Tamandua tetradactyla: one gene and its partners. The protein of the gene in region 1 purifies or fractionates together with the protein of each later gene. This does not show direct contact. Links are inferred from orthologs where the notes say so. Each region holds a gene or a part of one and is shown in the gene's direction. Other genes may lie near its edges.

The links. Proteins that work in one complex are often made in the same cells at the same time.
Region 2: the proteins of SNRPA (region 1) and PRPF19 fractionate together in Homo sapiens (co-fractionation; 3 studies listed by BioGRID and IntAct, with this or other methods). This does not show direct contact. The link is inferred for Tamandua tetradactyla from reciprocal best matches to the Homo sapiens genes SNRPA and PRPF19.
Region 3: the proteins of SNRPA (region 1) and SRPK2 purify together in Homo sapiens (affinity purification with mass spectrometry; 4 studies listed by BioGRID and IntAct, with this or other methods). This does not show direct contact. The link is inferred for Tamandua tetradactyla from reciprocal best matches to the Homo sapiens genes SNRPA and SRPK2.

What each region holds. Positions count from the first base shown.
Region 1 is NC_135342.1:23,372,588-23,376,336, reverse strand, and holds the start of SNRPA (U1 small nuclear ribonucleoprotein A), read left to right. Parts: upstream 1-1,200; 5' UTR 1,201-1,333; intron 1,334-1,361; exon of another isoform or gene 1,362-1,624; intron 1,625-1,788; 5' UTR 1,789-1,810; coding exon 1,811-1,883; intron 1,884-3,749. Other genes in the region: ACTMAP (actin maturation protease), read right to left, coding at 1-193. UniProt on the Homo sapiens protein: Component of the spliceosomal U1 snRNP, which is essential for recognition of the pre-mRNA 5' splice-site and the subsequent assembly of the spliceosome. U1 snRNP is the first snRNP to interact with pre-mRNA.
Region 2 is NC_135335.1:14,207,455-14,211,203, forward strand, and holds the start of PRPF19 (pre-mRNA-processing factor 19), read left to right. Parts: upstream 1-1,167; 5' UTR 1,168-3,749. Other genes in the region: voltage-gated monoatomic cation channel TMEM109, read right to left, coding at 31-55. UniProt on the Homo sapiens protein: Ubiquitin-protein ligase which is a core component of several complexes mainly involved pre-mRNA splicing and DNA repair. Required for pre-mRNA splicing as component of the spliceosome.
Region 3 is NC_135327.1:143,769,172-143,772,920, reverse strand, and holds the start of SRPK2 (SRSF protein kinase 2), read left to right. Parts: upstream 1-1,283; 5' UTR 1,284-1,342; intron 1,343-3,749. UniProt on the Homo sapiens protein: Serine/arginine-rich protein-specific kinase which specifically phosphorylates its substrates at serine residues located in regions rich in arginine/serine dipeptides, known as RS domains and is involved in the phosphorylation of SR splicing factors and the regulation of splicing.

The sequences.
Region 1 (3,749 bases):
CTGCCCCCATGGCAGGGGGTGGTGGGGGTGGAGGGGGTAGAGGGCTAAGGACCTGGAGGCTCAAGGGAGGGGGTATAACATCTAAGTCTGAGGGACTCGGGGGCAGGGGAGGAAGTGGCATGATAGGGTCCTTGAGTGCAAGGGCACTTTGAGGGACAGGGGACTCTAGGGGAGAAGAGCATGGAGAAGTCATTTTGGGTTCTATGGGAGTATCTGGGGGTAGCAAACGGAAGAGGAAAGGATACTTCAAAATGAGTTAGTCTCAGAAACGTTGATTTTGAAGGTTTAAGAGTCCACTTCCACAATTTGGGGGCTAAGCACTGGGACTGAAAGAACTGGGGCTAAAATCTGGAACCATGGGAAGCAGGGATGGCAGTTGACTCAAGTCCCGAGGTATCTGGGAGCTGACCTGTCTGTGTCTGGATTAGCTGAATCCCGAATCTCAGATTTTGTGGAGTGGGGCAGGGCTCAAGAGCAGATTAGGAGATTAATTTTTTCTCCAGCGTAGTATTTAGAAACCTCATGCGTCAATTTAGGGACACAGGCTGTCAAACGTATGGTGATGCCTAAAGGTGGGATTGAGGGGCTCAGGGCTAAAAACCGGGGGAGTTTAGGCTCTACTTGCATCCGAGACCCCAGCTCAAAACCTTCCAGCGGTCGTTCGAGCCAGGGGTCAAGAGGTCAAAAAGGACACCTGGCAAGGAAAATGGCTTAGTTTTAGAGAAGGCCCAGTAAACAAAAAAGCAACAGGAAATGCCTACAGGAGATGGGGAAGGTTCACAGGTCGGAAGCCAGCGGGGGCCAAAAGACCGGAGTAGGGAAGGGAGACCCGCAGTATCACGCGCGTGCCCCGACCCCTACCCCCGCAAAATGGCGGCGGCTGCACACTACCTTTCTCACATCACGTGAGGACCGCAGCCTCATAACCGCCCCTTCCATGATCACGTGGCAGAAAACACGCGGAGGCTTGGAGAAGGCCCGGAGATGAGGCTTCCTAATGATCGCCGCCGGAAGAGACTGAAATGCGAGCTGCGTCCCGATTGGCAAGAAGAGCGTGAGGGGGCGCGGCCTTCATTGATTGGTCCACAGGCCCAGGGGCTGCAAGACGTGGGCGGAATTTCAAGGAGTTGGGTGGGTTTTTTGTGTCGAGGCGGGAACCCGTGTGTCGTTTTGATTGGCAGGGTGAGGTAGACTGGCTCTGATTGGCCAGGCTACTGAGGTTCTGCCTGGGGATTGGCTTCTAGAAAGGCAAAGGCGGGGCCAGGAGAGGAAGCTTTGTGGTTGGGTCTCAGAAATGCAGTAGTTATCCCTTGCGCGAGCTGTCGAATGGTTGGTGAGTAATCTCGAGCGAAAAGCTGCCATAGACTCTGGGCGGGCGGAACTCTTAGTGCTTGGGACTTCCCGCGCCCCTTCTGGGGAAGTCTTCCTGCTGCGCGAGGCCAGGACGCCCCCAAATTTTATCCTCCCAACCTTAATTGTTCTTAACATCCGGGTCTCTCGTACCGGCCGCCCTTTTGGGCTCGTGGGCCAATAGGAATCACTACTTAGGGCGCCCCGCCTACCGGGCCGCGTAAAGCGTCCTGGGACTCGTAGTGAGAGTCTCGAGAGTTCTCTCACCACGCGGGTAGGCGATCCCGAGTCCTGACTAAGCTTTGTTGCCCGAGCTGTACCTCCCGGCTTTCCTGAATTCCTTCTGCTTGGAAGATCCCCGAGCAGCCTATTAGGCCAGCACTGGGATCAAGGATTTGCAGACATCTGCGGCTGAAATCTCCTTTCTCGTTCTTTCAGTCCTACCTCGGAACCTCACACCATGGCGGTTCCCGAGACCCGCCCCAACCACACTATTTACATCAACAACCTCAACGAGAAAATCAAAAAGGATGGTAAGTTCTCGGGATGGTCCAAACTCCAGACTATCCTTCACAAGCTGGTCCCACCCCTCCCCGGCAGCCGCTTCTCTTCCTCAGGCTTCTGCTCCTGCCAAACGGCTGCAGTGAAAGTCCTTCGGCCTTTGCACATGCTGCCCTCTGTCTTTTAACACTCCCATACGTCGTCTTAGGCGCTTCTTGTTCACCTGATCTCTGTTGCTCTTCGTTTGGGTTTCAGGTAACGGGACTCCCTCCTCCAGAAAGCCTTTCCTGGTCTTCTACTCTCTGTGATGCCTGCCTCTGACTTCCCCTAGTCTCCGTACATCCACCATCAGGCCCTGATCATTCTGGGCTGTCACTGTCTGGAGACGGGTCTGTCTCCTCATTGGTCTGTGAGCTCCATGAAGCAGGGACCTCGACTGGCTTTTTCCCTGTTACCTTCTCACTGAAAACGTACAGTAGTGTCTCTGTACGAGGTGCTGATCTGTGTACTTTTATGAAGTCAGTCTTGGATATATTCAGTTTTCACAATCCTGCCAGGAAGAAGCAATTATATTCCTATTTTTCAGATTAGGACACTGACTTAGTAATGAGTGACTCTCCTTAGGTTATACAGCAAGAAAAGTGGTAGAGGTCACAAGTATGGAGTTCTGCTTAAGAATTCACTTTTTGAAGTGAGACAGACTTCCACCTTCTTGAGCATTCTCTATATCGGGAAATTGAGCAAATTTCTAATACCTTCTTTGCAGGGATATTCTGAGGATTAAGTTAGTTAAACCTTCATGCAGCGCTTTTTTTTTAAGGTACCCAGCTGGATAAATGTTAGTAGCTCTTACAACTTCAAGAAAATGGCCAGTAAAATCAAAGGAGCTTGTTGGGATTAAGTTTGAGATTACCAATAAAGTTGCTGTTTTAGAAAACAAAATAAGGAATGTAAATTCTGCAAGTGCTTTTAGAGCATTGTGCCGGGCAGTTCTGGGGACACATTGGTGACTGAGATAACCCTGGCCCTGTCTCGTGGATTCCAGTTCAGTGGGAGAGAGTCCGGTTCTCCGACAGTGTCAGGGCAGAGGGGTTGGGGCTCGAATTCATTCCTTCATAGGAGAAGATATTTTTTGGAAAAGCCTTCAGGTAGCAGAAGCGTTGTTTTTGTATGATGAGAGAGAAGGGCGTTTCTGACTTAAATCAGTAGTGCAAATCTCTAAGGGCCAAAGAAAGCCTGGAGCATTGTATGAACCACCGATAGTTTTGTGTGCCTGGGGCTAGAGGGCCGTGCACTGACTCATGGGCCCTTCATCTAGGGCTTGGACTTTGTCCTGACGGTATTGAGAAGCTAGGCTAGGGGCGTTGCCAGTTGTTGGTTGGTAAAAATCCTCTCAGCTGTGGAGGTTGAACTGAGAGGGTGAAAAGGGAGGCTGTAGGCTGTGGAGAGGTTCAGAGCCCAAATGACTGAGCCCTGATCTAGCCCTCCCACGTTTTCTTCTCTTCCCTCATCTTTTTTTTCCCTAGTTTGCATAAGATATTGCTATTGTTTTCAGACCTGGTTGGGAAGACAGGTCTTTCCTTGGTTTAGCTTAAATCTTGCTTGCTGTCTGTTAGTGAGGCAGTTTGCTTGTTCAGTTTGGATGGACTTAGGTTCTGCTCTTGGTTATGTCATGTCTTTGAGCAGTGTCCGCCTCTCAGAGCCTGTTGCCACTTTAAAATTGAGAGGGTTGCAGTTGCTAACTCATGGGATCGTTATGAGAATTTAGTCAAGTTATTTCCATAAGGCACCTAAGGATGTCTTGATTCATGCAAACGTTTGTGGAGAGGTTGTGTGGTAGATTCTACACTAGGTCTGATGCTATTGCAGTAAACAAATCAGACAGGCTTATCCCTCCT
Region 2 (3,749 bases), on another chromosome or scaffold:
CTCCCCGGAAACGTACGCTTCCCGGGTTACCTAGTAACGACGCCCCCGGTTGCATAGCAACGAGGATCCGGGTCCCTAGTTTGTTTCCCCCGCCGCACGACGTCGGACCCCTCCCCACTCCGGCTCGCCAGGCCTTGAGGTTCCGGTCTCGTCCTCCCCACAGCGGCTGCCGCTTCCCGGCCCTGTATGTCTCTCCTCCGGCCCCGGTCTCGGCTCATACTTACGGAACTTCGGCAACCGTTGCTCTTCACGTGCGACTTGGCTAAAACGCGCCACCAAACCCGCGCCTCAACGCCTGGGCGTTCGTTTACCGTCTGCGCATGCGCCAGCTCCTGAAGCCGAGCCGGGTCGGCCTTCGCCGCCTCAGGAGCTTAGTGCCATGAGCGCATGCGCTCTACCGTCTCGATTACTTTTTTTTTTTTTTCCCCCAAGTTTTAGTACGGAGAGAAGAATGGGATCGGAAGTTCAAGCTGGGAACGGAAGTCTCTGACAGGAAAGGGGGAAAAAGGTGACTATATCTGGGCTGTTCAGTAGGTAAACTGGATCTTTGGAATCGAGGTCGAAGCCAATTTGCCGCTTCAACCCCCTCGGAATTTGGGGAAATGTAGTTCTTGGGCTACATAATGCCGCCTCGGGCATTGTGGGAAATGTAGTTCTTAACACAGGCGCCGAGAGCCTCGGGTCTCGGGAGAAACTTTGCGCTCAAAAGGGGTCATGGTGTGAGAATTGGAGGCGCAGCGACAGTGGGGAAAGGCATCTGCCCCATCACAGGGCACGTCCACACCTGAACCCTGCCGGGTGTTCGCTCAGAATTTTAGAGCAGTAGGAAAACCAGCGCTCAGACTCCTTCAGCGGTGTAAACGGGAAGGATTTGGGGTGCGGCGACCTGCTCGGTGATCCTGGACGCGTCGCTTGATTTCTCTGAGCCTCAGATCCTTCAGCTTTACTCTGAAGCAGCTTTCAGTGCTGTAAGGTTCCCAAGATACCGCCTCACTGTCGGTTTGAAGATTGATTCAAGGAAGTGAAGAGAGCGAATATTACTTTGAAGACATCCACATTGCTTCCCAAAGGCTTCATCGCCGTTACTGACAACCGTAGGGATGGCTCCTTTCTGCTGTTAAAACCAGGTCCTCAAGAACGTCCTAAAAATCGGAGCCCTTTTTGCCCCTCCCCTGAACCTGCCTCCCCATTCTGCCTTCTTTCCAGGTTACATGCAGGAGTGGCTCCCAGTCTGTCCTCTAATCTAGTTGTTTCTTTCTCAGACTCACCTATCTGCATTTGGGCCCTCATCATTTACTGTTTCAGCTAAGAATCTTCTGGAGCAGGCTCCGGTGGCATCGTAGACCTCACCTTTAAGTTTTGTAACAGTCGCTGTTTTACGTTTGCTGGTGAGATTGTTTCTGATTTGTAGGGCTATGGATCTCAGATCGCAGACGTCCCTGTGCAAGCATTCTTATTTTTTTCCTATGATGTTATCTCTTTTCAAATCTCTTCTTTTCCCTTGGAGTGGTAGAAACAATCTCAGACAGGGTTCTGGGTTCTTCTGACTCCTGACTTTCAGGTTGTACGCAGTCTTGGGAAAGTTAACGTATGGCCAGCCGGGAGAAGGGAAAGCTTATCTAAACTTCAATCTCAGTTGTTTGAATTGGCAACTCCTGAGACTCCCAAATCTTCTGTCATTTATCCAGGCAGGTTGCCACTGAATCTACCTGGGAAATGGAGCTTGGGCTGCCTCTGGGTTATTGGCAGACATGCCTCTATGTTTCTCAAGCAACAGCAGCTTTGGCCTGAGGGAGCAAGGGAAAGGGCTCCTTTTTCAGAGACTCACCAACAGCTGTGCAGCTATCTCTTCCCCTCTATTTCCAGCCTAGGGAACTTGTGTCTCTGCTGGTTTGAAAGGATGTATGTACCCTAGAAAAGCCATGTTTTAATCCTAATCCTATTTTGTAAAGGCAGCTGTTTCTTCTAATCCCTATTCAGCATTGTATGTTTGAAACTGTAATTATATCATCTCCCTGGAGATGAGATTTAATCAAGAGTGGTGTTAAACTGGATTAGCTGGAGGCGTATCTCCATCCATTTGGGTGGGTCTTGATTAGTTCTTTTATAGGAATAAAAGAGGAAACATTTTGGAGAATGAGAGCAATTCAGAGAGCAGAGCAGAATGACGTAGCCACGAGAAGCAGAGTCCACCAGCCAGCGACCTTTGGAAATGAAGAAGGGAAACGCCTCCTGGGGAGCTTCATGAAGGGAAGCCAGGAGAGAAAGCTAGCAGATGACGCCGTGTTCCCCACATGCCTTTCCAGATGAGAGAGAAATCCTGTTCGCCATGTGCCTTCTCACTTGAGAGAGAAACCCTGAACTTCATCGGCTTTCTTGAACCAAAGTATCTTTCCCTGGATGGACATTTCTACAGACTTGTTTTAATTGGGACATTTTCTCGGCCTTAGAACTGTAAACTAGCAACTTATTAAATCCCCCTTTTTGAAAGCCATTCCATTTCTGGTATATTGCATTCCAGCAGCTGGCAAACTAGAACAGTTTCCTTTATGGGGATGTTGAGGTGGGGCAGATTAAGGAGAGTGGGTGGAGGTCAAACTCTTACAAGTTCTATTTACTCCAAAATCAACTGTTTAATATCTCGATCCTCTCTAGTCCTTTAGAGGCTGACTTTTGAAATGCAAAATCCTTTAAGGGACTCCCTTTTCGCTATGTTCTGAAGTCACAACCATAAGCCCCCCCCAATGGAGGGTCATTTCTGATTTTGCTCCTAGTGCAGTGCCTGTCTGGTACATAGTGGGTACAGTCTAGTAAGTGAATGGCTGATGGTCTCCCTCCAGTCTGCCCCGCTCCAACCTTCCAGTAAGCGTCTTCCAGAGGAAACTTCTAGAAATGTGGTTATCTTTAGGTCACTCCGTAGCTCAAATGCAATCAAATGCTGTTCTGCTCCCAACCCAGTCAAGTCTAACCACTTACTGTACAAGGCCCCGACTAAATCCACCCAGTCTATATCCTGCCACATCCAAGTATTTGAGGTGCCTGACGTGTCAGGCAGCCTGTTATTCAACAAAATTTATGAAGTTCCTACTGTTTGTCAGACACTGTGTTAGAATCTTGGAACAACAGTGACCAGGACAACTGTGATTCCTGTCATCACAGAGTTTACAGTCTAGCAGAGAAATCAGACATCAAACAGATAGTTATAAAAAATTAAGTGATTGTAGCTATCCAGTGGGGCTTCAAGGAGAATCACAGGGTGCTATGGGGTCTAACTTCAGATAGAAATCAAGAAAAGCCTTCCCCACGAAGTGACATTTAAAGTGAGATGAAATTACATTGGAGGGTGTATTCGTTTGTTGAATGCTGCTGGAATGCAATGTACCAGAAATGGGTTGGCTCTTACAAAGGGAATTAAATTACAAGTTTACAGTTCTAAAGCCATAGAAATGTCCAAACTAAGATATCCAGAGAAAGATACCTTGACTCAAGAAAGGCTGATGGTGTCCAAACACCTCTATCAGCTGGAAAGACATGGGGGCTGGTGTCTGCTGGCCCTTTACTTCTGATTTCAAAACAGCTTCCCCAGGGAAATTTTCTTTCTGCACCGCCAAATGTCTGTGTCAGCGCTGAATCAACTCCAAAATGTTTCCCCTTTTAAAGGACTCCAGTAAACTAATCATGATCCACCTTGAATAAGCAGAGTCACATCTCCATCTCATCAAAAGGCCGCACTCACAGTTGGGTGTGTC
Region 3 (3,749 bases), on another chromosome or scaffold:
ATTCTAGCAAAAAAAAAAAACACATTAATTTTGATGCCTGGAAACATTGACTTAAGTTTTGCTGAAGGACTTGAAGCTAATAAAGGTTCTTTTTTCAGTCTCTGAGACTGGGTGCTAAGTGATATAAAGACGATTTATTCAGCAACACCAGCTGAGCAACTCTGGGGTGCCAGATTCGGTGGGGCACATTAGTGAGCTGGATGGACCTGACTTATTGTACTGAGGAAGGCCTATTTTTCTCCCTTTGATTTCTCAAGTCTGGGTGGTGAAAAGGTAGGGGCTGGGTGTTATACTGCCCCAGGTTTTTAAGGAACCAAACAAAATGTGAAGAGAACTGGGGATAACTTAACTGGGAAGCTACTTTATTTGCTAATAAGGGAGGTGGAAGAATCACTTCTCTCTGTTTTGTTCTGCCAAGGATTTCATCTCAGAGCTGTTGCACAATAGAGATACAAACCTAAGTTTCTAACATGTTCCATGTTTTTGTTCGTTTGTTTAACTGTGAACAAAAACATATTCAGCTTATTTCTATATTTTATACTGGATTTTTTCCACAGCCACAGTAAAATAAGAAGCCAAATTGTTACACTCAGAGAGTTCAAGTATTTGAGAACTGAGACTCTATCATGGCTACATCCATGTCTAAATGTTTGGAAGGAATGTCACCCTAGGTGGGACAATTCAGCATAGTTTATTATGTCCGGGCCATCTGATCTATTTAGATACATGTTGACATATTTGTCAATATTCTAAATCCATCCTAATCCAGCCCTTGGGAAATCTTCAGGAGTCATTTTTCAGCTGGCTTATATAAGACTCTTAAATACAGGAGGCATTTTATTTATAACAGATTTATTACAGTTGATGATTTTCTCAAGCTAGGATATCTAGTCCACATTCCCTTTTCTTAAGTATGAATGTTAAACGGAAATTACCTTTCATTTCTATGGTTTAAACAAATGGTAGAAGGAGCGGTTTTCCCAAGGATTCTCACTATAACTTGTAAAGCAGAGGCACTTAAAAGAAACAAAGAATGACCCCTTGTGGTGATTTGAAAATATGTTCACACATCCTTTGATAATCCTCCAGTCGAGAGGTGGAGCTTAATTCTCCTCCTTTGAGCACACACTGTACTTAGTTACTTATTTCTAAGGAATAGAATGTGGCAGAAATGATGGAATGTGACTTCACGCGTAGGTCATAAAAGATCATACAACTTCTGTTTGTTCTCTCTTGGGTGACTCACTCTGGGGGAAGCCATCTGCCATGCCATGAGAACACTCCGGCAGTCCCATGGAGAAGTCCTGGTGGTGAGGAACTGAGGCTTCCTGCCTATACACATGTGAGTGAGCTGTCTTTGTAGCAGGGCTTCCAGCCTCAGTTAAGGCTTCAGGTGATAGTAGCTTGAGCTGATACCCTTTTTTTTTTTTTTAAATATTTAAAATGAGTTTTTAATTTCAGAGTAGTTTCATATTTACAAAGAAGTCACAAAGATAGTCCCTCACACCCAGTTTCCCCGAATATTAATATATGACCCTGGTATAATACCTTTGTCACAATTAATGAACCAATATGGATACATTACTAATCTTTATTCTCTTTTCATCGGTTTTGATCTAATGTCTTTTTTTCTATCCCAGGACATTCAGGAGATCACATTACATTTAGTTGTCATGTCTCCTTAGGCTCCTGTTGGACGTGATAATTTTTCAGACTTTCCATGTTTTGCATAATAACTTAAAAATTTTTTTTGTTTTACTTTGAAATAAATTCAAATTTACAGGACAGTTGCAAAAATTATACAAAACCCATACAGAGAACTCCAACATACCCTCATCCAGACACCCAGATCTACCAACTTCTAACATTTTTCCACATTTGTCATGTCATTCTGTCTTTACCTATCTATATATCTATCCATCCATCCATCTATCTATTTAGGTTGTAGGTTGTATCCCAGATGACATTTTGACTCTTCAGCTAAGCTATTCTCAAATTCCTGGACCAGAAACTGAGACAATTTTTTTGTTATTTTAGGCTGCTAAATTCGGGGGTAAGTTTTTACGCAGCAATAGATAATACATCCCTAATATGTATATTTATGTGTACATATATGGACAGCTAATATTTATTGAAAACTTAGTTTCAATAAAGTTGAAAACTATGGACTTGTTCTAGTTTGCTAGCTTCCGGAATGCAATATACCAGAAACAGAATGGCTTTTAAAAAGGGGGATTTAATAAGTTAAGAGTTTACAGTTCTAACGCTGAGAAAATGTCCCAATTAAAACAAGTCCATAGAAATGTCCAATCTAAGGCATCCAGGGAAAGATATCTAGATTCAAGAAGGCTGATGAAAGTCATGGTTTCTTTCTCAAGTGGAAGGGCACATGGCAAACATGGTCTGGGTACATTTATCATCTGGAAGGGCATATAGCAAACACAGCATCATCTGCTAGCTTTTTCTCCTTGCTTCCTGTTTCATGAAGCTCCCTGGGAGACATTTTCCTTCTTCATCTCCAAAAGTTGCTGGCTGGTAGACTCTGATTCTCAGGGCTATGTCGTTCTTCTCTGCTCTCTCTGAATCGCTCTCATTCTTCAAAATGTTTCCTCTTTTATAGGACTTCAGAAACCAATCAAGACCACCCAATGGGTGGAGACATGTCATCACCTAATTCAGCTTAACAACTACTCTTGATTAAATCACATCTCCAGGGAGATGTTCTGATTACAGCTTCAAACATACAGTATTGAACAGGGATTATTCTAACTTTATGAAATGGGATTTTGATTAAACATGGCTTTTCTAGGGAACATATATCCTTTCAACCAGCACATTATCTAAGCATTTTTATGTGAAATAACTCATTTCTCGTAACAAACTTCAAGGTAGGCAATATTATTATCTGAATTTTGCAGATTGGGCAGCTGAGACATAGAGAGACTGAGTTACTTGTCCAAGATTACTGCAACTTGGCAATGAAGAACTAGAGTGTGAACTCTGGCAGTCAAGCTCTACTACTTTACACTAACTGCTACATTACACTGCTATTGCAATGATGCTAGTGCCACTGAGAAATACCCTATGATGAGAAAACAATTGACAGGTTTAAGCTTCATAGTAAAAGTACAGATTAGATATAAGGAAACTTTCCTAAAACCTGATAATCTCAGAGGGCATTTAAAAGGAGGCTAATTTTCATATTTCTTTCCTAGTTTAAAGAACTAAAATCTTGTCAGCAAGACTGCTTTAAGGTCTTTAATTAAATGTCACCTCAGGGACACCTTCCTTGATCACCTTATACAAACCCTTCCTAAAAGGTCTGTTTTATTTTTCTACCTAGAAGTCATTACCGTCTAGTAAAAACAGTATATATTTCACATATTTATTTTGTTTATTGCCTGTTTCCTGTGAGTAGAATGTAAGCTCCATGAGAACAGGAAGATTTGGATATCTTTTGTTCACTGGTGTAGACTCAGTGCCTACAATAATGCCTTTGATAAGTATTTGTTGAAAAATGAGTGCAAAAGATCAAGCAAGTAGATTGGTGTATGTCTCGCTCAACTAAGGTCAATAATTATCTATTGAATATGTTATTTGATTATAATAATGACCTCTGAGGACTGGTATTAAGTAACTTGCCTAAGGTTTTGCAGAAATTAAATGGCAGAAACCAGTTTCAACACTGTGTTAAGGGAAAGAAGTTAGTCACAAAAGGCCACATGTGTAATTCCATTTATATGAAGTGA